Linked DNA regions of Ovis aries. The protein of the gene in region 2 interacts with the protein of the main gene of each other region in a pairwise test. Links are inferred from orthologs where the notes say so. Each region holds a gene or a part of one and is shown on either strand. Other genes may lie near its edges. The genes, in order: GSK3A and LRP6.

Region 1 (15,389 bases), on a different chromosome or scaffold from region 2:
GTCTAGCCCCCCTCACACACACAGACACGCACTGTCTCCCTCTAACCAGGTCTTGGCTTGGCAGAGGGGAGACGGGTTTCCCCATGGTAAGGGCGGGGATAGGAGGTGGACCCTGGGATGGGCCCCAGGGCCCAGACTCGGCGCCCTGACCCGGGGCTGCTCTCCTGCCTCCTGTCCCCAGGCTTTGCCTTCCCGGACTGGGCCTACAAGCCGGAGTCGTCCCCTGGCTCCAGGCAGATCCAGCTGTGGCACTTTATCCTGGAGCTGCTGCGGAAGGAGGAATACCAGGGCGTCATCGCCTGGCAGGGGGACTACGGGGAGTTCGTCATCAAGGACCCGGACGAGGTGGCTCGGCTCTGGGGGGTCCGCAAGTGCAAGCCCCAGATGAACTATGACAAGCTGAGCCGGGCTCTGCGGTGAGGAGGACAGAGGCCCTGGGGCAGACGTGGACAGCCCCCCCAACACACCAGTTGGGAGCCCCCTGGCCCGTGGGGGTAGGCACTGGGTTTGACTTCTGGCTGTGCCACATGGTAGCTGTGTGACCTCGGGCCAAGTTCTAACCCCTCTGAGCCCACGTGTCACACCAAAGCGAGAACGTGGTCATGGATGTGGCCTGTAGTCTGGCCCCAGAACTAAGGGGAGAGCTGGTCCCCACCCTCTGGACCTTGATTCCTCCCATGTGGCCCACGTTTCTCAGTCACCCTTTGCAAGTAACACTAATACAGGTCAAGGTTTGGGTTCTAGATTCGGGTCCCCTGTGACTGACCCTCTGGTGAACGGTGTTTCTGCACCCCCAGCTATTACTACAACAAACGCATTCTGCACAAGACCAAGGGGAAACGGTTCACCTACAAGTTCAACTTCAACAAACTGGTGCTGGTTAATTACCCTTTCATCGACGTGGGCTTGGCTGGTGAGTACCAGGGCTGGCGGGTACGGCCTTGGAGAGCAGGGTCTACCCGAATGTCCAGGCGAGGCGGAGCGGGTGGGGGGGGGCTTGACATCACGTCTTCCCTCTCCCGTCAGGGGGTGCGGTGCCCCAGAGCGCCCCGCCAGTGCCGACAGGCGGCAGCCACTTCCGCTTTCCTCCGTCGACGCCCTCCGAGGTGCTGTCTCCCACCGAGGACCCCCGCTCACCGCCGGCCTGCTCTTCGTCATCGTCATCCCTCTTCTCGGCCGTGGTGGCCCGGCGCCTGGGCCGGGGCTCGGTCAGTGACTGTAGTGATGGCACGTCAGAGCTCGAAGAGCCCCTGGGAGAGGACCCCCGGGCCCGACCGCCCGGCCCCCCAGAGCTGGGTGCTTTTCGTGGGCCCCCACTGGCCCGCCTGCCCCATGACCCTGGTGTCTTCCGTGTCTACCCCCGGCCCCGGGGTGGCCCTGAGCCCCTCAGCCCTTTCCCCGTGTCGCCTCTAGCCGGGCCTGGCTCCCTGCTGCCCCCGCAGCTCTCCCCGGCTCTACCCATGACCCCGACCCACCTGGCCTACACCCCATCCCCCACGCTGAGCCCCATGTACCCCGGTGGTGGCGGGGGCCCCAGCGGCTCGGGGGGAGGCTCCCACTTCTCCTTCAGCCCCGAGGACATGAAACGGTACCTGCAGGCCCACACCCAAAGCGTCTACAACTACCACCTCAGCCCCCGCGCCTTCCTGCACTACCCCGGGCTGGTGGTGCCACAGCCCCAGCGCCCCGACAAGTGCCCGCTGCCGCCCATGGCCCCCGAGACCCCACCGGTCCCCTCCTCGGCCTCGTCCTCCTCTTCCTCCTCTCCATTCAAGTTTAAGCTCCAGCCGCCCCCCCTGGGACGCCGGCAGCGGGCTGCTGGGGAGAAGGCCCCGGCGGGCGCTGATAAGGGCGGCAGCCTGGCCCTCGGCGGTGCAGGCGGGTTGGCCGAGGGTGCCGGGGTGCTGGCCCCGCCACCGCCACCGCCACCGCAGATCAAGGTGGAACCGATCTCCGAAGGCGAGTCGGAGGAGGTGGAGGTGACTGACATCAGCGACGAGGATGAAGAAGATGGGGAGGTGTTCAAGACGCCTCGTGTGCCGCCTGCACCCCCAAAGCCCGACCCGGGCGAGGTGCCCGGGGTTGCCCAGTGCATGCCTCTCAAGCTGCGCTTTAAACGCCGCTGGAGTGAAGACTGTCGCCTCGAAGGGGGTGGGGGCCCCGCTGGGGGCCTTGAGGATGAGGGTGAGGACAAGAAGGTGCGTGGGGAGGGGCCTGGGGAGGCTGGGGGGCCCCTCACCCCAAGGCGGGTGAGTTCTGACCTCCAGCACGCCACAGCCCAGCTCTCTCTGGAGCATCGAGATTCCTGAGGGCTGTGGGCAGGGGACCCCCATTCCCCCCACCCCCATGCCTCTTTTGCTGCCTTAACCCCCCCATTACCTGGAGGTGAGGGCAGCTTTTTAGGCTCGCTCTGCCTCCTCCTCTTTCCCGTCCCCCATGTTTTGTATAAAACTTTTAATTTTTTTTTTTTTTAATGATGAGGGTGGGTGGGTGCCCAGGGTGGGGGGCCATCCCCTTTCCCTGTGGGTTTCTAAGCTCCGGGCAAAGTGGTGGGGGTGGGAGGGAGGGGGGAGTTAAGGGGGCCACCTCCATTCTGGGGAATTTATATTTGAACTGAGGCTCCGGCCTCAAAGCCCAGGAACTTTTTTATCACAATCGTTTAGGAAGTAAAGCCTGTCTCCCTCCCTGTCCTCTGCCTCTGGTACTTCTCTCCCTGTCTATCCCCGGCTGTCCTCAGCCCCAGTCCTGCCTTCCCCGCCCCTCCAGGGGCCGTGAGTGCCTGGGTTTCTCATAGCCCCACAGGGTTGCAGCAGAGGAGGGAGGGACATTTTATGATGAACCAAAAATTCCGTGTTGGGGGGGGTTGGGGGCGGAGGAGGGTGAGGGGTGCCGCCCATAGGCCACAAATCTCTACAAGTGCCTGCTATCCCTCTCCTGGTCCCCACCCCAGTGCCAGTCCAACCCCTTCACCCCCGAGCTGCTCCTAGGACTTGCCCCATAGGCAGGCGGGTGGGGAAAGGGGTGCCCTGAAACCAAACTGGAAGCCCCCTCTGTCTCCCAGCTGGAGCCCCTGGGGTGGGGGTCTGTGGTCAAGCCTTATTCTGTATTGGGGATGGAGGGTGGGTGGGGAGGGAAGTCGGGGGCTGCTGGAGAATGTATTCAAAACAATAAAAACTTTGGACCTTTGGACGCAGTGATCTGAGTGTTGCACGCAGCCACCTCAGGGCCACATCCTTGGCCCTGAGTGGATCCATGGCCAGAGGGCCTAAGCCCATCTGAATGGGTCAAGTCCAGGCCTGGAAATGAACTGACCTTGGGGGGCACTAAACCTCTGGGCCTGGTGGTGAAGGTCTTGGGCATTCTCTGGCCCTCCTCTGGGGATCCACTCTTCCTGGGAGCACTTTTCGGCTCTTCAGTGCCAGGCCATGGCCCTTGTTCTTCTGCCTGAAATGCCTCTCTTCTCTGTGAAGTACTGTTCATTCCTCCAGGCTCTGGTGAAGGCCTGGTGCTCCTTCTGCACTACCTTTGGTGTCCTCTCACATATCAACTCTTAGAGGTGCTTATGAGTTCATCTGGTAGTCCTTTGGTGACAGGCTTGCAGTGTCTTGCAATGTAGATCTTTCAAGGCACTTTAGTGATCTTCCCATCAACCCATGGGAGCACTCTACTAGTAAATTAAGAAGAGACTGGCTTAATTGCAGTTGCTGTTCACCTACTGTGTGCCAGGTACTTAGGAGCTGGAGTTCTTTATCTCCAAGGTGGGAGCTAGCGGCTCACTTAAATGACTTGCCTAAGGCCTTAAGCCCAGCTGGGACTTTAATGAAGTCTGTCTCTGAAATACATGTTCTTTCAACAACTTAGTTCTAAAGCCAGGATGGTTGATTCTAGACCAGGATCTCAAGTTCCTAAGATCTGAGAGGAGAGGTCATAAAGCCAGAAGCCCAAGTTGGAGAGCTTGAATCAGAGATGAAAGAATCAGGAGGAGGTATCCAAGCTGGAGGTGCTTTGAGACAGCACAAGCCATCCAGTGCAGGTGAGGTGCCTGAGGCCCAGAGAGGGAAAGGAATTTTCCAAAGGCCACACAGCTGCTAAGATAATTGAGGGCCCTGGTCTTGCATGGCTTCACCATGAAACCCCACCCTATGCAACTCGGGGGGAAGGAACTGGAAAATCCTACCCACTCATTTCATCCTCATTTCAAGCCAGCCCTGGGTGGGTGGTCCCTGATGATGCCCGTTGGCAGTGAAGAAAGGATCCAGGGCTGGGGTACTGTGAGGCTCCCGTGGAGGCCTGCAGGCAACTGCTCCCTCTCCTGGGTGATGTAAGTCACTCCCTTGGGGTGGGGGCCACTGGGCTATTTCTGGAAGTAGGGATGAGGCGTGTCTCCTGGCAACATGGATGCAGCTAAGTTGGTGGTGGTGTGATGGAGAGAGGGGGATGTCATCACTGAGGTAGGAGGGAGGACCCTGACTAGTGGTCTCAGCACCTGATTCTAGTGCCTTCAGAGCACCTCTAAACCGGATCTACCATGGAGTCAAAGGTGCTCAGCTCCAGAACCCCTCTCCAGATCAGATCACAGCGCAGCCAGATTTCTTTCCCCAAATTCTGGCTGAGTGGGATGTCACACGTGGCCTCTGGTCTTGAAAACTCCAGCAGCTCCTCTCATCTTTAAAGTGGCCCATCTAAATCTATTCAGTTTCTGCAAGATCATACCCTTGCTCCCTTCCACATCTTTCAGGATCTCTGATACCAAGTAAAAGCTCTTTATAGATCTCAAGACACTTCCATCAATTAATTCATATTGTCAGAGACCCTCTCCTTACCTATAATCCCCAGCACTCCCTCAGTCCCCAGAAATTCCTTTCTTAGGCTTCTCAACCATCCCTCACTTCTTCAGGTCCCTCAGAAATACCCTCAGTCACCATCAGTTTCTCACAGTCTCCCACAGATCTTTTACAGACACCTCAAGTCCTTTCTGACTTCACTCCTCTCCAGGAAGACCATTTTACCTCTTCACACCTCTGAGCATCTCTAGACACCCAGAGGTCCCTCATAGCCACTTACAAACCGCTCTAGCACCCCTCAACAAACGTTCTCATCTCGTACAGACATTCGGATAAGATTCCTTCAGACTGACTCCCTCAGACTCCCACGGACCCCCATATCCTCTGGCGGTTGCACACGTGCGGCCCACTCCGCACTTCCCACGGGTTCTGGCCGTTAAGTAACCGCCACTATTCCGCCCTGTTCTCCTGCCCTTGTAAGCCTTCTTGGTCCAGGTTAGAATTCCCCAGGATTTGGGGTTTGAGTCAGATTTTTGCTTTTGGACTCCGAGCCGCCGTCAGAGGGCAGCAGGAACTGTTTGACTGAGGGATTACTACAACTCCCAGAAGCACCCGCTCTGGACTATGCAGTGATGTAGCCGAATTCATTGCGAAGAGAGCGGAAGTGTGACTGTGCTTTGCCTTCTGGTTAATGTAGTACGAAAGGCTTCAGAGTTACTATCCGTCCTGCCCCAGGAGTCCGCTGGGAATTGCACTCAACTACAGCTTGGACGAGACTTTTTTCAAAGGGCAGGGCAATTAGAGTGATCACAGGATCTGATTAAAGTGAAGCCTAGAACTCCATTTCCCGTCATTCCACGAGGCAGGAGAAGAGGGTGACTTCATTTCAGTTACAAATACTTCCGGAACACACAGACGACACATTCACATGAACTCTTATTTCCCAGCACACACTCACACGAGCTCTGTATACACACACACACACACACTCAAACGAACTCCGTTTCCCAGCGCGCTTTGGACTGCCGTCCTTCCGGGTATTAATCGATAAGTGGTGGCAACATAATGCGAGCACAAAACGCGAGGCTACTCCTAGCAGCTGGCTTCCTTCTTTTGGGCCTTCCAGCATCCTGTAATTTAGGAAGCCTGCGGATTCAAAGAGCTTAATGGGATGTTCAAGATAAATTGTGTTTTCATTTTTTTCAACCTTCAGTTCAGCCTCCAGGTGCAACGTACATTGTTAGGAAAAGCTAGACAATATCCGAAGACTGTATTGTCTTGAAAATCCACCGGAAACTTTGTTTCCTAAATCGTTGGCGGGGAGGGTTTTCCTTCCGGATTTGTGGAAACTTGGGAGTGTTTGCACTCCATTTTCCAGTAGTCCCTGATTGACTTCGGCTCTTTCTTGGGACCTGGCATCAGGAGAGGAGGCGTTGAAACTTTCCGCAGTCTCTTTTAGGCGACTGCCTTTCCCCTTTCGCTCACGCTCTTTCCGGCAAACCTCAGCTGTCTTCTCACAAAGGGTCGGGATCCGGTCTGGACTATTCCCCAGCATGCTTCAGGATTACGGTGGACCCCGCCCCCTCAGTCAATGGTAAGGCCGCCTTGAACTCCATTTCCCAGAAGACACAAGGCTCGCTGTAGCAACTACCCTGAAGCCTCGGTGTTGACTACATTTCCCAGCAGGGATTGCGGCCTAGCGAACGAGGGTGGAGGAATGCTCTGCCTCTCCATTTCCTAGCCTATCTCCGGAACTGCAATATCCACTTGGAGCTTAGGAATCACATGGGACTCCATTTCCCGGCGTGCTTTGGAAGTAGCTTTATACCCGCAATGCGGTGAGGGCGTGGCGACGACTACATTTCCCGGCTTGCCTCACAGCCCGATAGCGGCGGGTCCACCGACTCCGACTCAATTTCCCAGAGTGCACTTGGCACCAGTCGACATACAACCAATAAATTAAGTGAGCGATTGGACTCCGTTTCCCGGAGTGCATCGGACCTATACAGCTCACTGACGGAGTTGCCTGAGACTACATTTCTGAGGCACACCTAGGGACGCGCGGTTGCCGCAATGGAGTGAGTGTGCGACTCTGACTCTGCTTCAGAAAGTGCTTCAGAGTCCGTTGTGGGCAATTGTCCAACTTATTGCCCGGGACTCTATTTTCCGAGGTGCAGCGAGACTCATCATCGCCGCAGCCATCTCTGAGGTCTTTGTGGACTCCATTTCCCAGCGTGCCACGCGGCTCTCTGTGAGGGCCTAGAGCGGCGACGGCGTCGCGTAGGGCCGGCGGACTGCATCTCCCAGCGTGCCCCGCGGCGGGCGCTGGGCCGGAGCCGGAGCCCGAGCGGCGCGGCCTGGAAGAGGCCGGAGCCCGGGGGAGGCGGCGGCGGCGGCAGCGGCGGGGGCAGCCCGGGCAGCCCGAGCCCCGCGGCCTGGGCCTGCGCTCGGCGCCATGAGCGGTGGCGCGCCTTCGGGCGGCGGCCCTGGGGGCTCGGGCCGGGCGCGGACCAGCTCGTTCGCGGAGCCAGGCGGCGGAGGCGGCGGCGGCGGCGGCGGCCCGGGGGGTTCGGCCTCTGGCCCAGGCGGCAGCGGCGGCGGGAAGACGTCAGTCGGAGCCATGGGCGGAGGCGTGGGGGCCTCGAGCTCCGGGGGTGGCCCCAGCGGCAGCGGCGGAGGAGGCAGCGGCGGCCCCGGCGCGGGCACCAGCTTCCCGCCGCCCGGAGTGAAGCTGGGCCGTGAGTACTAGCGGTGCCCGTGGCGGGTGGAGATCGGATCCCTGAAGCCACTCAGACGTCGATCAGGTTCTTCTTTATGCTCAGGGAGGAGCTCGAGGTCACTGTGCCTTCCCAAACTGGGATCTGAGATCTACCCCCTCCCGGAGAGAGGGATTCGGGGGGGTTGCCATCACTTGGAGTGTAGAATTAGAATTAGTAATCCTCCAAAAGACAGGGTCACAGGTTCTTGTTCTTCCAGTCCCGAAGTCTTGGGTCCGTGAACCTTAAAAACAGGAATCTGATGTTGCTATCCATTCGAGAACAGATCAGGGGTCATTGTCGCTTGCAAATGGGGCTCAAGGGTTATTGTTTCTCAAGAGAACACGAATAAGATCACCACCACCCAGAGAAGGGATCTGAATTTGCTCCCCTTTAGAGCATGGGGATTTGAGTATCACTTAGAAGCAGGGATTTGGGCTTGCTGTGGCCTCAAAGCCAGGGCTTTCCAAATCTGATATCCAGATTCCCTTTTAAAACACTATCTGCCCATAATATGTAGAATTGTACACCCAATGGTGGAAATTAATGATTCCTGCTTCTTGAGGACAGATTGGAAGTCAGCATACCTTTCAGACCAAGTTCATAGTCACTAATATTCAAGAAAAGATGTCTTTCTTGAAGGGTTTCCTTTCACAGAAAACGCAATGGGGGCAGGGGCGGTTACCAGTCCCTCCCCTAGAATAAGGATGTGAAGTTATACCCATTTCATTATTCTGATGTATGATGTCATTGACTCTGGATAAATAGCTATATAGGATCCTCTCCCTCACTGGCCCCTCTGAATGGATCTGATTCATCACTGACTTCTTTTCTTTGGGGAACCTTTCACCAGTTACCGCAAGAAGAGGGATCCCTGTCCTCCAAGAATGCCACCAACTTTTGCTGCCATCGCAGAATGTTTTGGGAATTTCCTTTAAAGGACTGAGGCTAGGATAAACCCTTGATGATAGAGATCAGGTTCACCATTCTCACTATTAAGTGTTCGTCCATTAGGGACCAGTTACATACACGATGGGGTCTGGGGCTCTGAACCTCACAGGTGAGGTCAGGCCAGTGCTTTTTTCTAGCCCCAGAGTATTTGGGTAAGAGCTAATTGTCTCCCAAAAGTGAGAGTTAGGGCGCTGGCACTCCCTACGGGAAGAGTCATCCTTTTCTGTCACCAGAAACCAGTGGTGAAGTTACCAGCTGCACTTAGGGAGGACTTAAGAGATCACTGTCCCCCAAGTTGTGGGAAAGGTTAGGGCTTTACTGACATAGAAGTACCTCAGGGTTCCTGCTCTCAAGTGGAAGAGGTTAGGTCAGGCTCTCCCTAGAGAGGAGGGAGCAGAAGGCAGTTAGCTCTCATCATGGATGGATTCAACATCTGGGAGTGGTGGTGCCTCCTCACATCAGGAGGGACCAGTAATTTGCTGCTCACCAGAAGTGGAAATTAGAGGTTACCAACCCTGGCACAGCAAGAGGTTTTATGTGTCAGTATTCTCCCCTGTGGAGGAGTCAGGATTTGGGGTTCCCTGAAGGGAAGAGGGGGAAAGGAGACATCTAGGAGCCACCTTTGAAGATGGGGGAGGGACAAAGACCGTCCCCCGCCCATAAGCTTCCTGTAGAGACTCCCTGCCCTCTCACAGCCCCAGGATGGGGTGGTGGCCCGAGGGAAAAGGTCAGTAGATTGTGTGTTCCCTTTGCTCCCCAGGTGACAGTGGGAAGGTAACCACAGTGGTAGCCACTCTAGGCCAAGGCCCGGAGCGCTCCCAGGAGGTGGCTTACACAGACATCAAAGTGATTGGCAGTGGCTCATTTGGGGTCGTGTACCAGGCACGGCTGGCAGACACCAGGGAATTGGTGGCCATCAAGAAGGTTCTCCAGGACAAGAGGTTCAAGGTAGCTTGCGGGGAACGGGGATCAGGAGGTTTGACTGCACATGACTGGTGGGGGAACTCCAGCAAGAGTGCTGGACTTGGGTTTGTACAGGGGGTCTGAGCATGGGCCAGAGGAGAAGAGAGTGAGCTGTGTGGGGATGTGGATTCCAGGAGAACCCAGAGCTGACTTTTATTGGGCTCTTGTTCTTCGTAAGTGCTTTGTAGGCGAGTTTAACAGCGCAAAGATTCTCTGAGGGTAGGTGCTGTTGTTACTCCTATTCTAAGCAAGCAGAAGCTGGAAACTGAGATTCAGATAAGAGAATTGCACAAGGTCAAGTCTAGAATCTGATTCCCAAGCACTTCACCTTAACCACTGAGTTACTCTGCTACCCAGAAGAGAAAGGAAGCTGGTGGGGCTAATTCTGTCTGCGAAGGTCAGGCTCTGCCCCCAGGGTCTGGCACTTGCTGGGAGAAATCCCGCCTGTGCTGCAGATGCCTGGGTGTGGGGCCCAGGCACCCCTGAGGAAGGGGTCCTTTTCCTCATTCATATATAGTGCCCTGTGAGCTGGTAGAGGCCCTTTGGATCCTGTATAGTCGGGACGTAGGAGAAACTGAGCCTGGGCTGAAGAAACCAGGTCAGAGTTTAGGTCTCGGGCAGTGAGGACTCTCAGGGGCAGGTCTTCCTCCAGGGCGCCGGTCAGAATTTGATTATAGGTAAGTCCCGAAAGTGAGAGGAGTCTGAGGATGGGGGCCTCTGAGGCCCCAGGGGGGAACAGGAGAGGCAAGAGCGCTAAGACTGGTCTTGTGGGAAGAGGCTGAGGCTGGATCTCTACTGGGAAGGTGAGGATGAGAAGCCTGGAGGCCAGGACTCGGGATCCGAGCGCCCAGATGCCTTCCGTGAAAGCATGGAGCGGCGTGGGGACTAGGGGCATCTGGATGACCCCTCCCTGTCTAGTGTTGCTCTTGCCAGGCAGGGAAGTGGGCCTCATGTGGCCACATCATGTGATTTTCAAGAGAAGCTGAAAAACTTAGATTTACATGTGAAGTCATTTGCTTTGTAAATCTGAGCAAAAAATCAAACATTTTTAAGAAGTAGGCTGCAAGAAGCACATGTAAGTGATCTGACTTTAGTTGTGTGTGAGGGGAGCTAGGGGTGAGGAATTAGGGGCTGCTCCATATGGGGCCTTGGAGCTAACGCACGGAGTGGCTGCTTGGCCCTGCCGGCAGGAATGGGAGTAGAGCTGTGGTGAGGGGTGCTCGGGAGGGGAGGCGGGGAGAGTGGCTTGTCTACTGAGGCTCTCTTCCCTTGCCCCCCAAGAACCGAGAGCTGCAGATTATGCGTAAGCTGGACCACTGCAATATCGTGAGGCTGAGATACTTTTTCTACTCCAGTGGGGAGAAGGTGAGACCTGGGTGTGGGGATTCCTCCTCCGCTTGGGCTCCACCCATCTGCCTGCCTTTCTCATGGCTGCTCGTCTCTTCCCTTGTTATTCCCCACACCTTCCTCCCCCTCTTCCTTGCCCATTTCTCATGATGCCTCACACCTCTCCTTTGCTCTCTGCAGAAAGATGAGCTTTACCTAAACCTGGTGCTGGAATACGTGCCCGAGACAGTGTACCGGGTGGCCCGCCATTTTACCAAGGCCAAGTTGAACATCCCTATCATCTATGTCAAGGTAGGCAGGCTGGCGGGCTGCGGGGGTCCCACCCACCAAGTCAGGCGCTCCAGACAGACTCTCCCGTCATTTCCAAGTTTACGTTGGTCTCTAGAGGCCTCACGTGCCTTGCCCTTGTCCCTACATCCCCAGAGATGGAGCTCCCCAAAGGCAGGGCATCCCAGGCCGAGGCCTGATGCAGTCAGGGAGGCAGGCTGACCAGGGCTGGGGAGGCTGCACGTTACCGGCTCGTGTCCACCCCAGGAGCCCACCGGCACCAAGCGATGTTGGTGCGGTCAGCTCAGAATCGAGGTGGGGACTTAGAATGCAGAGGCACAATGAGGTCAGAGGCCTGGCCCGTGGAGCCCTGGCAGAGGGGGATGGGAAGGAGGCAGGGTTGGAGGAAACTTAGTGTCCATGGCACCAGGGACTCAGGCATCTTCATGGCCTGCGGAGGCTCATTCCCCTGGTGCTGTGCCCTGTGTGTTACTGTCCCTAAGGACGGATTTGAGTGAGTGACTGGGTGAGTGGGCGGGCTTCGGGATGCTGTGGAGGACAGGACCCGAGCAGCCAGCTGCACGGCGGGAGGAGGGTGGGCTCGCATTTGCGGAGGTTGCATGGGCCGACTTTCCTCCCATTGACTTTAAGGATCCCAGGCCTAGGGGGGTGCTGTGGGACTGCACCTTCTGGGGGGGGCGGGTGGTGGTGATCTGGTCTGTGGACTGTGTCCTGGACCCAGCACTGAGCAGCTCTAGGGGTCCCACTGACTGCGACGCAGACTGCTCCAGAAGAGCTCTCAGTTTAGCAGGGTAGACAGGCGTCATCACAGAGAACTATAAAACTACCAACATTGGCTGACCCGGAAGAAGCACAGGGATTCTGCAAAGAGGAGGCCCCTAGCCCTGCCTGCTTTGGGAGTGAGAAGGATTGAGGAAGGCTTCTGGGAGGAGACTGGGCACAGGGCAAGAAGTTGGCATCTCTGGCCACAGGCACTGGGAACAGAGGAGGCGGTGCCCAGGAGGCGGGCCTGAGCAGTTACACATGCCGGGCAATGGACGAAGCCCTGGGGCCCCAGGGCCCCAGGAGCAATGGAAACACTGAGATCCCTGCTCTTGGCACTTAACGTCCTAGTCAGTAGGAAAGAGAATAGCAGAAAAATCCAGGTGGAGAGGGGCTGGCCTGAGGGTGGTTTTGACTGCTGAGTGAAGGAGGCTGAGCCCTTCCTACAGCCAGTGGGTTCCTTGGTGAGGCTCCCCAGCCTGCTTTAAAACAAGGCCTTCCTGATGTACCTGTCTTGTCCATCAGGCTTCTGCCGAAGTGTGTGTTTGAAGCAGTGGTTTCCAAAGTGTGGACCGGCACCAGCACTACGGGGCTGGTTGCAGAGCTTTATCCTGATCTACCGAATCAGAACCTCTGGGAGTGGGCCCTGCAGTCCTTGTTTTAACATGGCCTCCACGTGATTCTGGTGCTCACCAAAGCTTGAGAACCAAGGGGCAGCGGAAGTGTTTTCAAGACAGGGAGAGTGGGCCCGGAAGGGCTCTGCAGGCCGAGATGGTGGAGCAGGGGTGTGCTCTGCGGGGAGAGCTGGGCTGGAGTTCTGCTATCCCCTGCCCACCCCAGGTGTACATGTACCAGCTCTTCCGGAGCTTGGCCTACATCCACTCCCAGGGCGTGTGTCACCGCGACATCAAGCCCCAGAACCTGCTGGTGGATCCCGACACTGCTGTCCTCAAGCTCTGCGATTTTGGCAGGTGAGCCTCACCTGGGGTGGGCTGGGTGGCTGAAGGGGCGAGGAGGGATCCCGACCCTTGGCCTGTGTTGACTCCTGCCCATATCTTCCTACAGCGCAAAACAGTTGGTCCGCGGGGAGCCCAATGTCTCCTACATCTGTTCTCGCTACTACCGGGCCCCAGAGCTGATCTTCGGAGCCACCGATTACACCTCATCCATCGGTCAGACTTGGCGGGGGGGAGGGGGGGGTAGCAGTCATGGCAGTTTTTGAGGTCCTTCTGTGTGTCTGCCAGGCTCGGTGATAAAGCGTAACACTGTTCCTTTAGCTGGTCCTCACAAATTCAGGAAGGTGACGCTGTCACCTGTCTAAGCTTTAAGTCTAAAGCTTAGAGTGGTGAGGTCACCTGCCCACAGTCAGGTGGGACTGGGCAGGGCTGGGCTTTGAAAGCAGACCTGACTCCAGAGTCCATAGAGCCCTGGAACCTCCCAGGAAGTCCTTTCTCCTCAGTCAGCAGGAGGGGCTGACAGTGACCTTGGGGGAATCGGGAGGTGAAAGGCTTTGCCACCATGAAGGTGTGACCTGTTCACAGGGCCTCGATGTCCTTCCCTGTTGCTGGGGGTGAGAGTGCCAACTTCCAGGCATGAGGAGAGGGTGTGAAAGTGTTCGGAAGAGAAAGTTCATCAGCTTTGCAAGGAAACGTCATGGTCCCTAGGTGTGAACTTGTGCTGTGGGGGTCAAGGTACAGGACTGGAAGGGGTGACTAACCAGGCCACGGCTATTTCCAAGTGCAAGAGAGAGGCCAGAAGTGAGTAAGGCAGCTCATTTAATGCTTTCCCTTCCTGAGGCCCAGAGAACACAGCTGTCTGTTCTGGGCCTGTTGATGTGTCCTCTGAGGCTGCAGAGAAAAGGCTTACTGGGATCAGAGTGGAGAGAGGCGATGGAATCCTCTAGATTGGAGAGTACAGCGTAGTCAGGCAGACTTGGAGGTTCAGAGTCAGGCTTCTGTGTTCCTATACTGTGTGACCTTGTGCAAGGTCCTTTCTCACTGAGCCAAGAAAATGGGGCTCTTGGCATCTCTCAGGGTGATCATGAAGGATAGAAATGGTTGCCCGGGGATGGGCATGGTAGCTCTGACCCTCCCCTGTTCCTCTTCAGATGTGTGGTCGGCTGGCTGTGTACTGGCTGAGCTCCTCTTGGGCCAGCCCATCTTCCCTGGGGACAGTGGGGTGGACCAGCTGGTGGAGATCATCAAGGTGAGGGCAGGGCCAGGGCGGGCAGGGACTGGGCTCAGGGCCAAGGACCTTGGCTCAGACCCCTTCCTTTCCCTACAGGTGCTGGGAACACCAAGCCGGGAACAGATTCGCGAGATGAACCCCAACTACACGGAGTTCAAGTTCCCCCAGATTAAAGCTCACCCCTGGACAAAGGTGGGGCAGGATTCGGGGTTCAGGCAGCGTGGCTGAGGTCCCCACTGGAGGCCAACTGGTCTGGGGACCTGGCTATAGTCATGGCTCAGTAGGGGGTCAGTTGACTTTGATCACATGGCAAAGTTTAAAGCTGAGAACCCCCAGTAAATCCCAGAGGCATGATTTCAGATGGGGAGACGGGCTCACAGCACAGCAGGGGCCAAACAGTCATGGGACCCGAGCGGGTTGCTTATCTGATACAAGCTCACCTCCCCTCAAGAGGCTGCGTGTCAGTTTCCTCATCTGGAAAGCGGGGTTGTGGGGGCAAGCAGGAGCACTCCCGTGCCCAGGGCCTCAGCCATCTCCTCTGCACCCCCAGGTGTTCAAATCGCGGACGCCGCCCGAGGCCATCGCGCTCTGTTCCAGCCTGCTGGAGTACACCCCCTCCTCGAGGCTCTCGCCGCTGGAAGCCTGCGCGCACAGCTTCTTCGATGAACTGCGATGTCCTGGAACCCAGCTCCCCAACAACCGCCCGCTCCCCCCCCTCTTCAATTTCAGTCCTGGTGGTGAGAGCCCAGCCTGGGATCTGGGGTGCTGGAGGGGCAGCCGGAGACAGTGAAGAGCTTGGTGTGGAAGACCGGAGAGCTGAGGGTGGGCTGCAAGGCAGTCCTGGGGCTCAGGAAATAAACCCCTGAGGCAGGGACACCCCAACCCACCTCATCTGCACTCTGCAATCTCCCGTGTTAGGCTCCTTCCAGTTTTAAAGTGTTCGGTGGCTACATCTATCCTTATCTGGTGCCCCTTTCTAACCAGGACTGGGTCGCCAGGTGCCCTGTCCCTTGACTAGACATGTCCATTCCTGTCTCTAGAACTCACCATCCAACCATCTCTCAATGCCATCCTCATCCCTCCTCACTTGAGGTCCCCGGCGGGCACTGCCTCCCTCACCCCATCCTCACAAGGTAAGTTGGAGACCATCTCTTGTGCAGTAAAGCTGCATTTCTCAGTGTATGGGGGAGGGGGCAGTTGTTTGCACAGCACCCCCAGTTTACTGCAGAAATTGTTGACAGGATGTTTCCCATGTGAATGGCCATCTTTGTAAGGCATTATCGCCTGTATTTTGTGTTCAGATGCAGACTGGAAAACGAAAGAGATACATTTGGCCTGCACAAACAGTTAG
Region 2 (15,515 bases):
ATTCAGGAATTCTCCAGGCAAGAATTGAACTCAGGTCTCCTGCAATGCAGGAAAATTCTTTATTATCTTTGCCATTAGGAAGCCCTAAAAAAAAGAATGAAACAATGCCATTTGCAGCAACATGGATGGACGTAGGGATTGTCATACTGAGTGAATTAAATCAGACAAAGACAAATATCATATGATATTGCATGGCTGAGCGACTGAACTGATGGCTTATACGTGGAATCTATTAAAAAAAAAAAAGACACAGAAACAGAACTATAGATGTAGAAACCAACTTATGGTTATCAGGAGGTATGTGGGGGGATAAACTGGGAGACTGGGATGGACATATACATACTACTATATGAAATAAATAACTAATAAGAACCTACTGTATGGCACAGCGAACTCTACTCAATATTCTGTAATTGCCTATATGGGAAAAGAATCTAAAACAGGAGTACATATATGTGTAACTGATTGACTTTGCTATATACCTGAAACTAACATCACATTATATGTAAACCAACTACACTCCAATAAAAATTTAAGAAAAACAGAACAACACATTCTCCTGGATAGCTGCAGCTCGGTGTTTTACAAACATTGCCAGTATAAAAGGCCCATTGTTGAACTTACCATCAGTCCCTCTTGAAATGCTCCTTATGCATTTCTTTTCTTAGTAAATTAGACTGCCATTCACTGGGATGCATAATTTAGAAACCTGGAAATTCATCCTAGTCTACTTCTGTCTCTCCCAATTCACATCTGATAGGTCACCAAGTCCTGCAGTTTTGATCTCATATTCCTGAAATCCACCACCTCTTTTCAAACTCGAGTGCTGCTGTCCTGACCATCTCTTTCATAGACTAAAAATAACTTCATCACTGGTCTTCCTACTTTTTTTTTTTTTTTTTTTGCCTTGCCTCCCTTCTGTTACCCACACTGCTGCCAGAGGAATTACTTAACATTCAAATCAATTCTCACCATGAGAAAAATCCTTCAATATCCATACTGTCAAGAGGTGAAAATCTAAACTTCTTAGCATGACTTTAAAAGCTCTTTATTATCCAATACCTACTTAACGGTCTTGCCTCATTTCCTGATATTCTCTGAAAGCGCCCTAGGCTTCAGATATATGGATCTACTTTCAAATTCCCAACATGCCAAGCTCTCTCTCTAATAATTCAGTGCCTTTGCACCTGCTCTCCTTCTGCTTGGAATTCCTTGTCAGTCGTGATGGCTTGACAAACTCTGACTTAAATTTCAAGACTCAACTGCAGGGTTATTTTCCCTTCTTTAAATTGTTCAGTTCGCCATATGTGCTGTGTACTTGAGTTCCTTGTTGATATGGTACAAACATGCACTATAAATAAATTTTAACTTTATTTTTGTTTCATTAATTGGATTTTTTAAACTAGGTTGTGAGCTTCTAGACAGTAGGGACTATATGATTAATCTCATCTTTGCATGCTCAGCACTTTACTGAGACTGGCCTTGAATATTTTTAATAGGCACTTGAATGCATGTGAAACAAATTATTAAGAAGAACAGCAACCTGACTGAACTTAAGCTATTGATTTTCACCTAAGTAGTTTTAAAGAAATTGCAAAAAATAAATAATACATTAAAGCAAATTTAAGAACAGAAAACTAAAGTAAATTTCCTATTATTACACTATCCTAATCACTGTTTTAGTGCATTTAGTTTTCATCTTTTCTCAAGCATGTGATATTAATATATATATGTTTATGTTGAAACATGTATGTATATATTTATATTTTATATAGCTGTAATTAAAGTCTATTGGAGAAGCGTTCTTGCCTGGAGAAATCCCAGGGACGGCAGAGCCTGGTGGGCTGCCATCTATGAGGTCTCACAGAGTCGGACACGACTCAAGCAACTTAGCAGCAGCAGCAATTAAAATCTACATGCACTTTGGGATTTCCCTGGTGGTCCAGTGGCTGAGATTCTGTGATCTCAATGCAAGGGACCCCAGTTCAATCCCTGGTCAGGAACTAGATCCCACATGCCACAACTAAGACTTTGCATGCCATACTAAAGATCCTACAATCTGTACTAAGACCTGGTGCAGCCAAATAAATAAGTTTTTTTTAAAAAAGCATTTTTATAAGTTTTCAAGCTTAGCGAACTGTAAACATTTTTCTAACAGTTTTATAGCCTCCAAATTATTATTTTCCAGGACTACAAATATCTCAACTCCCTACTAAGGTTGATAGTCTAAATGAGACTTAGGTTATACCCAGTTTTCTATTATAAATAGGAATAGATCCAGGTTTTGTGAACCTGAAATTTATACAATTTTGAGTGACGTTTTCAGAAAAAGAACACAAAATTATCTTACTTTTGCAAATAGAACCATGTGAACACATTGTGTTTCACAGGGGCCTGTGAAAGTGGGAAGGGAGTCCTGAAGGTTAATTTTCATTGGCTTTGCAGTTATTGACCTCCAACTAGAAATAATCCTGGACTAAACATTTTGAGCCTGAATTTGTTTTCCCCTTTGCTTCCATGGTGTCTAAAGGATTCCCAGTTACCAGGATCCCATTTGCCTTGTGGGGGTTGGGAAAGGAAATGGTCATTTATTGAGCACCTATTACATAATGACCAGTTTCTATATATTTTTAAATTTAATTCCTACCACAAGCCTGAAAACTAAAATCTCCATGTTACAGATGAGAAAACTGAGGTGCAGTGCGCTTAAATCGTATGCCCAGAGTTACACATCTAGTGACTGAAAGGGTTGGACCCTTCTGGTCTTATTCCAAAGCTCATACCTTCCTGACTACATCAGGGTGTCTCCACAGCCTCATAGCTTCAAGGTAATGTTTTCTAGGTTATTGTGGAAATCCGGTTATTAGTGATTTGTTTTGAGGATGACAGAATACAAAACTTGCAGAATCCTGACACGGTTAATGGAAGAAGGTAATTTAGATCAGTGGTGGCTAGACTTTCACAGGTGCATTTAGGAGAAAGATTTGGCTCTTTCTAGGAATACCAGACCACCTAACCTGCCTCTTGAGAAATCTGTATGCAGGTCAGGAAGCAACAGTTAGAACTGGACATGGAACAACAGACTGGTTCCAAATAGGAAAAGGAGTACGTCAAGGCTGTATATTGTCACCCTGCTTATTTAACTTATGTGCAGAGTACATCAAGAGAAACGCTGGACTGGAAGAAACACAAGCTGGAATCAAGACTGCCAGGAGAAATATCAGTAACTTTAGATATGCAGATGACACCACCCTTATGGCAGAAAGTGAAGAGGAGCTAAAAAGCCTCTTGATGAAAGTGAAAGAGGAGAGTGAAAAAGTTGGCTTAAAGCTCAACATTCAGAAAATGAAGATCATGGCATCTGGTCCCATCACTTCATGGGAAATAGATGGGGAAACAGTGGAAACAGTGTCAGACTCTATTTTTTTGGGCTCCAAAATCCCTGCAGATGGTGACTGCAGCCATGAAATTAAAAGACGCTTACTCCTTGGAAGAAAAGTTATGACCAACCTAGACCTATTGAAAAGCAGAGACATTACTTTGCCGACTAAGGTCCATCTAGTCAAGGCTATGGTTTTTCCTGTGGTCATGTATGGATGTGAGAGTTGGACTGTGAAGAAGGCTGAGCGCCGAAGAATTGATGCTTTTGAACTGTGGTGTTGGAGAAGAGTCTTGAGAGTCCCTTGGACTACAAGGAGATCCAACCAGTCCAGTCTGAAGGAGATCAACCCTGGGATTTCTTTGGAAGGAATGATGCTGAAGCTGAAGCTCCAGTACTTTGGCCACCTCATGTGGAGAGTTGACTCATTGGAAAAGGCTCTGATGCTGGGAGGGATTGGGGGCAGGAGGAGAAGGGGATGACCCAGGATGAGATGGCTGGATGGCATCACAGACTCGATGGACGTGAGTCTGAATGAGCTCCCAGAGATGGTGATGGACAGGGAGGCCTGGCGGGCTGCCATTCATGGGGTCGCAAAGAGTCCTACACGACTGAGCGACTGAACTGAACTGAGCCTGCCTGGATAGAGAAGGCAATGGCATCCCACTCCAGTACTCTTGCCTGGAAAATCCCATGGACGGAGGAGCCTGGCGGCCTACAGTCTCCGGGGTCCCATGAGAGTCGGACACGACTGATTCGCTAAACAATCTGCTTACAGACACGCATCACCTTGGCTCGGTGTCCATTTCCTGGAAATAGCAGAGCATCTGTGGTCGGAAGACCTGGGTTAGGTTAGGACTTGCTATAGTCTACGTGAGTGACCTTGGGAAAGTCATTGAATCCCCTAGTTTCCCATTTTCCTCTTCTGCAATGAGGATGCCAAGTGACACAACCTGTCTTACCCCAGGGTAGTTATGAGTGTCAAATCTGACTGTGAGCAGCACTTGGTGAACCTCAGTGTTACTACGATATTGAGTACCACTGCTGGAGTAGCTCCAGCTCCGCGCCACCTGCCCACAGTAAGGTTGAGTGACAGGTGGATGGATTGCTGCTGATGGCTCCTTTAGGTTAACTCTCAGTGGTGCCATCCCAGCTTCACCCGCACCCCCCACCCCCAAGCTGCCACGTGATTCCAAGGGCTTCTGGGCCGTTACTCCTGAACGCCCAGTGAAAGGCGGCTGCTGCGGCGAGCAGCCGGCCAGAGGCTGTGCAAAATCGAGTCTGAGATTCCGAGGAATCTTTTCCTCCTCAATCTGAGAGCGGATCGTCACAACATGCCAGACATTCATCACTAAACGCAGTTTGCAAAATCCTAGCACCGTTCTGCCCACCGTCCCTTTGCTTTGTTAGGTGCTGACGCATTTATCTTGGAATTTTATCTGCCGGGTTAGAAATCCTTTAGTCCTTGGGGGGGGGGGGGGGGGGGGCAGTCTGTAGTTCTGGGAAACCAGGAGAAAATTAAAAAAAAAATTCAGTTTTCTGTTGGCGTTTGAATACCCTTCACCAGATCCATGTTGAAAGCCGATGGAAGCAATATTAGTTTTCATTTTCCTTAAAAAAAAAAAAAAAAGATGCTTAAACAGATTTCCAACCCTGGGACTAAAGTCATGCCTCGTATCGGGATCTAGGTGAATCTCCGAGCGTGGACCTGCGGCTCTGCAGGCCCAGCCAGCCGTCTCCTGCCGCCCACCTTGGCCCCGGCCCAGGTGGCGGCCGGCGTGGACCTGGAGCCTCACCTGGCTCGGTCGGCGGCGGCCGCACAAAGAGCGGCGCAGGCGGCTGCCGGGCCGAGCCGCAGAAAGTAGTCCCGACCACGCCGGCTCCCGATGTTGTTCGACGTCGCTTCACGCCCTCCGCGGGGAGGGCCGAAGGGTCCGGCCCGGGAAAGAATCCCTTCGGAATGCGCCACTGGGCGGCCTGTCCCCTCTGGCCCGCTTCTACTGGTCCCGCAGATCTCCCGGGGTCTCCTCGCCGAGGCTGTGCGCACGGTTTCCTCTCCTTTTCTAACCTGCCCGGGAGGCGGCACCGAGGGAGGGGAGGGCTCGCCCGCGCGCAGGGAGACCTCGGCGGCGATCCGTGACGGTGGGAGGCGTATCCCTGCGCCGCTGCGTGAGAGGAAGAGGCTGAATGAGGAGCTGCGCGGGGGAAGCGGGGCGCCGGGGGAGGAGGCGGCGGGATGGAAGCAGACGCTGGCGTCGCGCGAGCTCCGGGCGGAGCGGCGCGGTAGAGAGGGCGGCGGCGGCGGCAGCGCGCGCGGAGCCTTGACGGGCCCCCTTTTCTTTCTTCTCTCTGGAAAGCTGGGAAGCATGAGCGTGCAGACCTGCCGCTGCGGCGGCCGCCCCGGCTCCTCGCCTCCCCCTCTTCGGGCCGCCCCTCGCCGGTGAGAGAAGCGAACGCGAGCAGGGAAGATGGGGGCCGTCCTGAGGAGCCTCCTGGCCTGCAGTTTCTGCGTGCTCCTGAGAGGTGGGAGAGAAAGCGGGGGGACGGGAAAGTTGGTGGGGTTTGCGGGAGGGAAGGAGGGGGTCTCGTTCTGTTGTGTCTACGGAGGGGAGGGGAGGGTGGGGGAGGCGAAGCTGGGGAAGGAGTTGGGAGAGGCCTGGTCGTGGGGAAGGAGGGAGCAAGGGGCCCGGGAGAAGGGGCTGCGCGCTCCGCCCGGCCACGCTGCAGCCCCCGCCTCGCTTGCCCCACCGCGTCCGGACAGAGCGTTCGTCCGGGCTGCCTGGCGGGGTGACCTCCCCCCGGAGCCCCATCCTGTCCGAGTGACTGGAGATCGGTGGGTCTCCTGCCTGCAGTCACCGGGGACGAGGGGCTTTGTATGGATCTTGGCTCTCGGAACGTTGGAGCCCAAGATGCTTCAGCGCTTGGATTTCTCCCTCCAAGCCCCCACCTTTTCCCTGTGGGTCCCGTGAACTTTTAGAGCCCTCTTACTATTTTTTCCAGGCCTTGTAGCAACTAATAACTGGTTTCCGTGGAGGATGTAATGATCGTGGGTGAGAGCATAGTTGGAAAGGGACTCCGAGGTTATAGGTCGAGTGTTTTCAGCCTTGGGGAATCGCCTGGGCTCCAGCCCGTAATAAAATAGAAACGTTGCCCTTGCAACCTCTGGCATTCAGGACTTGCCCCTATTTTCGGAGCATGCAAGTGTACAGTTGGCACCAAGTAGGAAAGTCATCCTTGGTGGAGAGGAGCCTGTCCTGGGACCTAAGTTATCATCTGCTGCGCTCCCCTGGAGACTGCGTGGCACGTTGGTAAATAACATAGGCTATTCTAGGTAATTTGCCCTGAGAATCGCGTAAATTCAATGGTCCCAGGTTTTGTTTTTTAGATTGGCCTGCGAAACTGTCACACATGCTGCGACTTTTTTGTGACAGTTCACTGAGGTTTTTGACTGGCCTGCAAGATTTCAACAGCTCTTCTCACATCAGTGGTGAAGTGGTGATGACTCTGATGCTATGGGGCATTTACCAGCAGAGGAATTTAAGTACCAATTGATGGAATGACTTGAAGCTTTGGTTTCAGTTAACAATTCTCGCTTGTGTTCACGGTCAGTTCTTTTCAGGTATGGGACCTCTTGGGTCTAAGGAGATTTTTAGCTGTTAATTTAATAGGCTAAATTTATGTTCAATGTGCACACTTACTTTAGTTTCCAGAACACAATAGTAACAGTCTTGTGTTATAAATGAGCTGGATATGCCATTTCTGAGTATATGTTTATTGGATAAGCGTGATTGACATTGTTTTGGAGGAGGAATTTTTTTCTTTAGTTACACTTCAGGATTATTCAGGGAGATCCCCTGGAGAAGGAAATGGCAACCCACTCCAATGTTCTTGCCTGGGAAATCCCATGGACCAAGGAGTCTGGCAAGCTACAGTCCTTGGGGGTCACAAAAGAGCTGTTGATTTAACTGAGACACAGCTGAAGTGACTGAACAGCAGCCGCAACAGCAGGATTATTAGGTCTGCCTGTTTTATATACTTATACTTAATTACAACTCATTGTAAGCGTATTCTAAACTATTTCCACGTGTAAACTTTAGAAAGCTAGTGCTTATTTTATTTTCTTGGCAGAGAATTGGATGTAGTGGTATGTACTTGAGAGGTCTAGTAATTATATATTCATTTTAGTATGATATAGTTCCTATTGAAGGGGATTTTGCTATAGTTGTGAGAAACAATTTTATTTGACATAGAATATGGGTATATTTTAAGACAGAAGGTTAATAGAATTAACAAATAGAGTCCCCTGTTGGGTTAAAGCCTTGGTGAAATTGCATTCCATTACCCAGATGCTTCTGGTTGCCCAGTTGTATTTCTTGGAAGAGGAGGTTATGTTGTAAATGCCACTTGTTTAACACCAGAATTGAGCCCAGAATTGAGTTTATTCATTATTGGAGTTAAGAGAAGTTACATTTGAAATAATATTGTGACGTATGATATTATGTAAGAAGACCTAGAAAAGTTAATAGTGCAAATTGCTTCATTTCCACCAACAGAATTTCCAAAAGTGAAGCTCTTATTTTAAATATAGTCTAATCATGGTTTAAGGTGGCCTTTGAATTTAACATACTTAACCATGGGTATATATTTGAACTAAAACTATTTTTACTGTGAAAGATTTTTATTCATAATTTAGGTTCTTCTCATTCCTTGATAATGTCATCCTCTTAAAATTGTGTTATTAGTTAATCTTGGACTCCAGGGAGAAGTGATTACTTTGTTGTATTAAGATCACTTGTTGTATTAAGATCACTTTTCTTCACAGAAGAGTTGGAGGTTTAACATTGGGAAGATGGGATGATGGGAGAGTTTGGGAGACCTTTGGTCCTCTGGCCCAGTTAAATCAATAGCTGAAAGCCGGGAAATAATGCTATCATTATCTGGACTGTGTCCTCATCCTTATCATCAGAGGACAAGGTGTAATGGAAAGATTGGGGGACTTCAGCACCCAAATCTTGAGTTTAAAGTCCATGCTGCCGCTGTTAAGTCACTTCAGTTGTGTCCAATTCTGTGTGACCCCACAGATGTGGAATCCTGTCCCTGGGATTCTCTAGGCAAGAACACTGGAGTGGGTTGCCATTTCCTTCTCCAATGCAGAAAAGTGAAAAGTGAAAGTGAAGTCGTTCAGTCCTGTCTGACTCTTCGCGACCCCATGGACTCCAGCCTGCCAGGCTCCTCCGTCCATGGGATTTTCCAGGCAAAAGTACTGGAGTGGGTTGCCATTGCCTTCTCCTAAAGTCCGTGCTTCACTACCAAATAACCTTATGATTCTGATCTAGTCAGTTTCTCTGGGCTCCAGTTTCTTTATATGTAAAATGTGGGTAGTATTACCAAGCTAGTTTGCAAATTTTTTGGTCATATTAAATGAAATACTGAATATAAAGTGATTTGCAAATGTTATTTTTTGTTACAATTTTCAATGGTAGACATATCCTCAGATGCTGGGGATTTGAGATTTAATTTCTATGAGATTCACAAGTTCTTAAAGATTTTGATCCTCTGGTCTAACCACTTCATTTGCAAGTGGGGAAACTCACATTCAGAGAGATTATAACTTGATCAAAATCTTACAGCTGATTAATATTAGAGCATGGATTTATTGTTCATTCTTTCAGCGATTAGCTGTGGAATACCTACTGTGTATCAGACTCTGATGGTACATTGGTAAGCAAAATCAACATGGGCCCTGCTCTGATGGACCTCACCATCTAGGTTGCCATCCTTAACTTCCATCCAGTTACTGGTTAGAAAAGATTATAGCTCTGATTTCCTAGAAAAGGAAAGTTATGACCAACCTAGATAGCATATTCAAAAGCAGAGACATTACTTTGCCAACAAAGGTCTGTCTAGTCAAGGCTATGGTTTTTCCAGTAGTCATGTATGGATGTGAGAGTTGGACTGTGAAGAAGCTGAGCACGTGAGAATTGATACTTTTGAACTGTGGTGTTGGAGAAGACTCTTGAGAGTCCCTTGGACTGCAAGGAGATCGGTCCTGGGATTTCTTTGGAGGGAATGATGCTGAAGCTCAAACTCCAGTCCTTTGGCCACCTCATTCGAAGAGCTGACTCATTGGAAAAGACTTTGATGCTGGAAGGGATTGGGGGCAGGAGGGAAAGGGGACGACAGAGGATGAGATGGCTGGATGGCATCACTGACTTGATGGACATGAGTTTGAGTGAACTCCAGGAGATGGTGATGGACAGGGAGGCCTGGCTTGCTGCAATTCATGGGGTTGAAAAGAGTCGGACACGACTGAGCGACTGAACTGAAAAGTTTTGGAATACCGTAGGTGTGTAAATTTTATAAATACTGTGTCCCAGCATATTTTGAGAAGGCTTTGTTGTTTTGTAAGAATCCTGTGCTACTCATCTTTTGTTGTTAATTTGTTTTGGTGGGGTTGGGGGGGGCAGTGGTGGTAAATACTGTTAGCACAAGCCACTAGTGTTTTCCATCTCAAATTTTTATAGGAGTGGTCCTTGGCGAATTAATTAATATCCAGTATAATGAGACCTTAGGAGGATAGAATGAATTTTGGAGTGGGAATCAGAATTGATTCTCATTCTAAGTTTGCCAGTAGCTAGCTGTGTGACCTTGGATAGGTCATTTCATCTTTGTACACCTTCATTAGCTTCATTAGGATAATGAATCTTCTTTTGCAGGTTCTTAATTCATAGTAACACACTAAGGGCTCTGAGAGGTTATAGGGTAGAGACCAGTTTTAACTTTGTTAAAATCTACTGTTTCCCAAACTCAACAATGAACTTTTTTTGGTGAATTCTGTAATTTTGTAACATTCTGCTGAACCTGTGTTCCAAGAACACATGTAGAGAGAACCTGAGCTAGGTAGCCTTTTAAGCATTAGGGTGAGTCATGTGAATTGATATTTGATGACAGTTTCATATAATTAAATTTGATACTTTAATCCCTGCTTACTTACTTGGCTTTAGATTTGCTCATCTGGCTAGGAAATAATTTGGTTATGAAACTTTTGGGTTTCAGCTCATTGTTTTCATCAGGCCTAACAGTAATTTCCCATGGTTCAGTTTTTCAGAGAATTTTTCTTTTCTTTAATTGAAATTTTTCCATTTGCTGAACTGAAATGCTTTTCTGTATAGTTAATTGTATATGCTCTGACTATCAGAAAGGTTAGTCTTTTTTTGAGTATCAAGGAAGGTTCTTTGAAGGAGTATATAAATGGAAAGTATTCTATGTGAATTTATAAACTGAACATAATAGAAAAATAAGTAAACAGGTTATAGTTATGTTTAGGCCATGGGTAAGTACTATGAGAAAATTGATTTTTATCATGGAAATTTTATTGCAAACATATTCTCAGAAGACTATACGGAGGGGCACTGTAGCAGAAAGCTATAGGCTTTATTGACAAACCAAGTTCAAGTCTTCTACCACTTTGGCACCCTTGGACAGGTTACCTAGCTTTGGTTCCTACTATTAGATGGGGATAGTATCTTCCAAGATTTCTGTGAGAACTCATTTTTTGTTTGCAAAGGGATAGATAGCATAATGCATGGTCAGTAGTAGATTTTGTGTGAAGAGTTTCTATTGTTAAATGGCTAATTTAAAAGAAATATTAATGCTCAGGAAAGACAAAACATGTTTTGGGCACTGTTTTAGGCCAGTAGGTTTTGAACTTGATTATTCTGCAACTAGAACTACATGAAATACTTCGATATTTTCTGTTTTAATTTAAATAAACAACACGGCCTCTATCTACTTAATTTATCTTACCTTTTAAGGGATTACAACTTGAACCTTTTATGTGATTATTATAAATAAGAATAAATAGTTGGTTATGATATTTATTTTAAAATTGCCCATATTTATGGAGAAAATAAAGTATTTCTAATTGAAATGTTTGTCATTGTATTATTTGTTTATAATAATTAAAATCATTCGATTGATGGACTTCTCCCTGTAGGGTGGGTAAATACTATACTGAGCTCCTGCCTTGTATGTTTCATGCTTTATATGAGAGAGAGTCTTTATATTTCTTCTGTAAAAGGAGCCTCCCCTTAATGAATAGAATTCTGCTTCTTGTGAATAACTTGGAAATTTAGTCAGATACCTGGACTAGGCAACCTAAAGAATAGAATGTTTGCCTTTGAGATTATTGATTTAAAACATAATTCATCATAAGTATAAGGAAAACAGTTATTTGTTATTATTAGTACCTGCTTTTGTTTCTCAAGCTGTTAGTGTTATTTGTGGCAGTAGTGACTTTTCGCACAAAAGGTTTAGGTCATTCACATGAGAGATTGGAAAATTCTGAAATGTGCCTGGGCTCAGTTTAGTGAAAACTAAGTAATTCAGTGCTAAATTTTGTTTCTGTAATACCTTGCTTGGAAGGGCCAGGAGCTTGGGGATGTGGAGTGAAATCATACTTTTAGGCAAAAAAATAAAATAGTGAATTTTTAAGTTGCTAATTGACACTAGAAAGATGAATGACTGACCTAAGGCCAGATTGCTTGTACTCTGGACAGTAATTTTACACACAGTGCCTTCTGTGTGCATCTGAATTCACCTGTACCTTATGGATTTGAAAGTGATACCAATCACTTTTGATAGGGGAAAATAAATATCATTGTAATTTTGGAGGTCAAGAGGCTCTTTTGCCCAGCAATCTTGATTCCAGCTTGTGCTTCTTCCACCCCAGGGTTTCTCAGGATGTACTCTGCAGATAAGTTAAATAAGCAGGGTGACAACAGACTGGTTCCAAATAGGAAAAGGAGTACGTCAAGGCTGTATACTGTCACCCTGCTTATTTAACTTATCTGCAGAGTACATCATGAGAAACCCTGGGGTGGAAGAAGCACAAGCTGGAATCAAGATTGCCGGGAGAAATATCAATAACTTCAGATATGCAGATGACACCACCCTTATGGCAGAAAGCGAAGAAGAACTAAAGAGCCTCTTGATGAAAGTGAAAGAGGAGAGTGAAAAAATTGGCTTAAAACTCAACATTCAGAAAACTTAAGATCATGGCATCTGGTCCCATCACTTCATGACAAATAGATGGGGAAACAGTGGAAACAGTGACAGAGTTTATTTTTGGGCTCCAAAATCACTGCAGATGGTGACGGCAGCCATGAAATTAAAAGACGCTTACTCCTTGGAAGAAAAGTTATGACCAACCTAGATAGTATATTCAAAAGCAGAAACATTACTTTGCCAACAAAGGTCAGTCTAGTTAAAGCTATGGTTTTTCCAGTAGTCATGTATGGATGTGAAAGTTGGACTATAAAGAGAGCTGAGTGCTGAAGAATTGATGCTTTTGAACTGTGGTGTTGGAGAAGACTCTTGAGAGTCCCTTGGACTGCAAGGAGATCCAACCAGTCCTAAAGGAAATCAGTCCTGAATATTCATTGGAAGGACTGATGCTGAAGCTGAAACTCCCAATACTTTGGCCACCTGATGCTAAGAAGTGACTCACTGGAAAAGACCCTGATGCTGGGAAAGATTGAAGGCGGGAGAAGGGGACGATAGGGATTGAGATGGTTGGATGGCATCACCGACTCAACGGGCATGAGTTTGAGTAAACTCCGGTTAGTTGGTGATGGACAGGGAGGCCGGACGGGCTGCGGTCTATGGGATTGCAGAGTCAGACACGACTGAACTGAACTAAATTTTGGAGTTTGCATGTAGGTGGTTTGTTGTATTACTGATAAGTAAAAGCCAATCCAGGTTTGAGTAAGGAAAGACTTTATTCAGAAAGATAATTGCAATAGGGAGAATGCTCTGACTGCACCATCTGCAGGCATTTCAAAATAAAACACAAAAAGATTTGTATGAAGGGTGAGCAGTCTAGCAGGAACTTTGTAGGAGTGTGAGCTGAGTGGGTGATGGTGAGCAGATTCAAGATGAGGAAAGTGAAACTGGAGTTTCTAATTTCCTGCAGAGTCGGTTGATGGCCTGGAAAGAGCTGTTGGGGACCTAAACATCAGCTTGCTTAAATTTAGGGCTAACCAAACTTTAGGGGCTTGTAGGAAAGAGAAAATTCTGACTAAAGTTAGACTTTTTGGTCGAGCCAAGTCAGTGGCTAAGCAGGGGCCATTTTGAGCACTTGGTCAGTCCTACTGTTGCTTAAAACAAAATTTGTCAGTCTTAGGAATATGTTTCAGTCCACTCAGTCTGCTCTAACAGACTATAGACTGGATGACTTATAAACAACAGAACTTCATTTATCACAGTCTGGAGGCTGATAGCCCAACAGCAGGGTCTCAGTATGGTCAGATTCTGGTCAGGACTCTCTTCAGGTTGCAACAGCTAAGACTTCATTTTGTATCCTCTCAGGGCAGAGAGAAAAGAGCTCTCCCTGGACTCTTATAAGGGTACTGGTCCCATTTATGAGGATTTCGCCCTTATGACCTCCCCAAGGCCCTGCCTCCTGATAACATTCACTTGAGGGGGAGTGTAAGGTTTCAGCATATGAATTTTGAGGGGCACAAACATTCAGTCCACAACAAGGTAGGCTAAAGTCATTGTAAGTTTGGTCTGATTATTTATGTAGGTGTAGGCATTTTAAGTTTGCTTCAGTGGGATTTTTTAATAAGGAATCTTGGAATGAACTTTAAAAGCCCCTTGAGGCCAAGAAAGCCAAGTCAGGTACTCACCATTGGATTTCACTTGCAGTACTTAGAGATTTGGGTGAATTCTTGAAGTCCCCAGAATATCCTGGGGTTCCTGCCTGAAATTAACTTTGCTTACTTTACCTTTAAGTCTGAGAACTATGTAAGCCAAGTACCAGTCTGGTTTTCCCAAGAGGACTGTAAGCATTGCTCCATTAAATCAACCACAGCTCCTTGAAAGTGTCTGGTGGTATTAGATTAAAGGAACATGACTTTCAAATATGACATCCAGTCAAAGCCTTGGTTGCATAATAATGTTTCAGACTCTTATTGAACTTATGCAAATAATTATATTGCCATGAAAATAAGAAAACTCAGTTAATACCTGAGTGTTGTTTTTGAATGATGGAATCAGGGAGATAAAGATAAATGTCTTATTTTCATTTACAGAAGTAAACTTGCATTGTAGGTTACTTACATTGTCATTGAATTACATGTAGCTTAAGAGAAAAGAGAAACATTCCTTATATCTAGAGAATAGGACATTAAAGCATCAGCAGTATTTTAAAACTCACAGTCACTGTGTCAGTTTATTCAGTCCTGAGTGATTAATTCTTATTCTGCTAAATCTTGGGTTAGCAGTCTCATGGATTCATAATCCTGACTCAGTATAGTCTCAAAGTTATTTCAGTGATGCCATCAGAAGCTTGTGTCCAAGAGTACAGTCCTCTTTCAGCAATACTTGTTGAAGACAAATGCTTGGCCTGTAGCTGGTTTGCAGGTGCTTTCAGAGAAACATCAAAGTAAAACAACACTCAGCACTCTAATGACAAGACTTAAAGTGATGGTGATAGTTTATTATGGGTAATTTCAAAACTGAAAGATGCGATGAGAGTTTGTTATAGAAAATAATGCAGCTGATAAATAAGTTTGGTTGTTTTTATGGTATGCACACCAAAATAAGTTCAGAGAAGTTTTAGGCAAAATACCTGTAAACATAATGATTAATCTTATTTTTAAGAAGTAGATATTACATTGATTCATGAGTATAAAGGAATACAATCTTTGCAGAGAAGAAGACTTAAAGGTATGTAGTAATCCTGAGACATAATGTATCTTAAAGCATATAGTTAGAGCATATGAAGAATAATATCAAGGTTATCAAGTAAATCGTGAACATCTGTCTAATAAAATTCCATAAATAAGTTGTGTGAGTCCCTGATGGAGAACCCTCAGTGGTCTACCAAGAATATACTGTATTCAAATTAAAGAAATGAAGTTATGACCAAGATAATACTAAAAACAATCATAAAAGAGTAATGAAAATTGTAATTGACACTGTACTATTGTGTAATATTGGAGAAAGCACTGCTCAGTCTGTTGATTAATAGAAACATGTTGTGGACGCTGAGACTAATGATAAATTTCCAGGAACCTCATTCAACTTTTAATCATATTGACATTTTACCCATTCAGATTTAATTTAGGGAGGG

The links.
Region 1: the proteins of LRP6 (region 2) and GSK3A interact in binary tests that used the Homo sapiens proteins (3 or more experiments, as listed by UniProt). The link is inferred for Ovis aries from reciprocal best matches to the Homo sapiens genes LRP6 and GSK3A.

The regions. Positions count from the first base shown.
Region 1 is NC_056067.1:50,606,927-50,622,315, forward strand, and holds the start of GSK3A (glycogen synthase kinase-3 alpha), read left to right. Parts: upstream 1-7,111; 5' UTR 7,112-7,239; coding exon 7,240-7,522; intron 7,523-9,251; coding exon 9,252-9,439; intron 9,440-10,735; coding exon 10,736-10,819; intron 10,820-10,981; coding exon 10,982-11,092; intron 11,093-12,691; coding exon 12,692-12,822; intron 12,823-12,916; coding exon 12,917-13,023; intron 13,024-13,958; coding exon 13,959-14,056; intron 14,057-14,134; coding exon 14,135-14,230; intron 14,231-14,588; coding exon 14,589-14,775; intron 14,776-15,078; coding exon 15,079-15,171; intron 15,172-15,389. Other genes in the region: ETS domain-containing transcription factor ERF, read left to right, coding at 182-416, 798-913, 1,027-2,309. UniProt on the Homo sapiens protein: Constitutively active protein kinase that acts as a negative regulator in the hormonal control of glucose homeostasis, Wnt signaling and regulation of transcription factors and microtubules, by phosphorylating and inactivating glycogen synthase (GYS1 or GYS2), CTNNB1/beta-catenin, APC and AXIN1.
Region 2 is NC_056056.1:203,187,979-203,203,493, forward strand, and holds the start of LRP6 (low-density lipoprotein receptor-related protein 6), read left to right. Parts: upstream 1-5,530; 5' UTR 5,531-5,736; coding exon of another isoform or gene 5,737-5,847; coding exon 5,848-5,902; intron 5,903-15,515. UniProt on the Homo sapiens protein: Component of the Wnt-Fzd-LRP5-LRP6 complex that triggers beta-catenin signaling through inducing aggregation of receptor-ligand complexes into ribosome-sized signalosomes.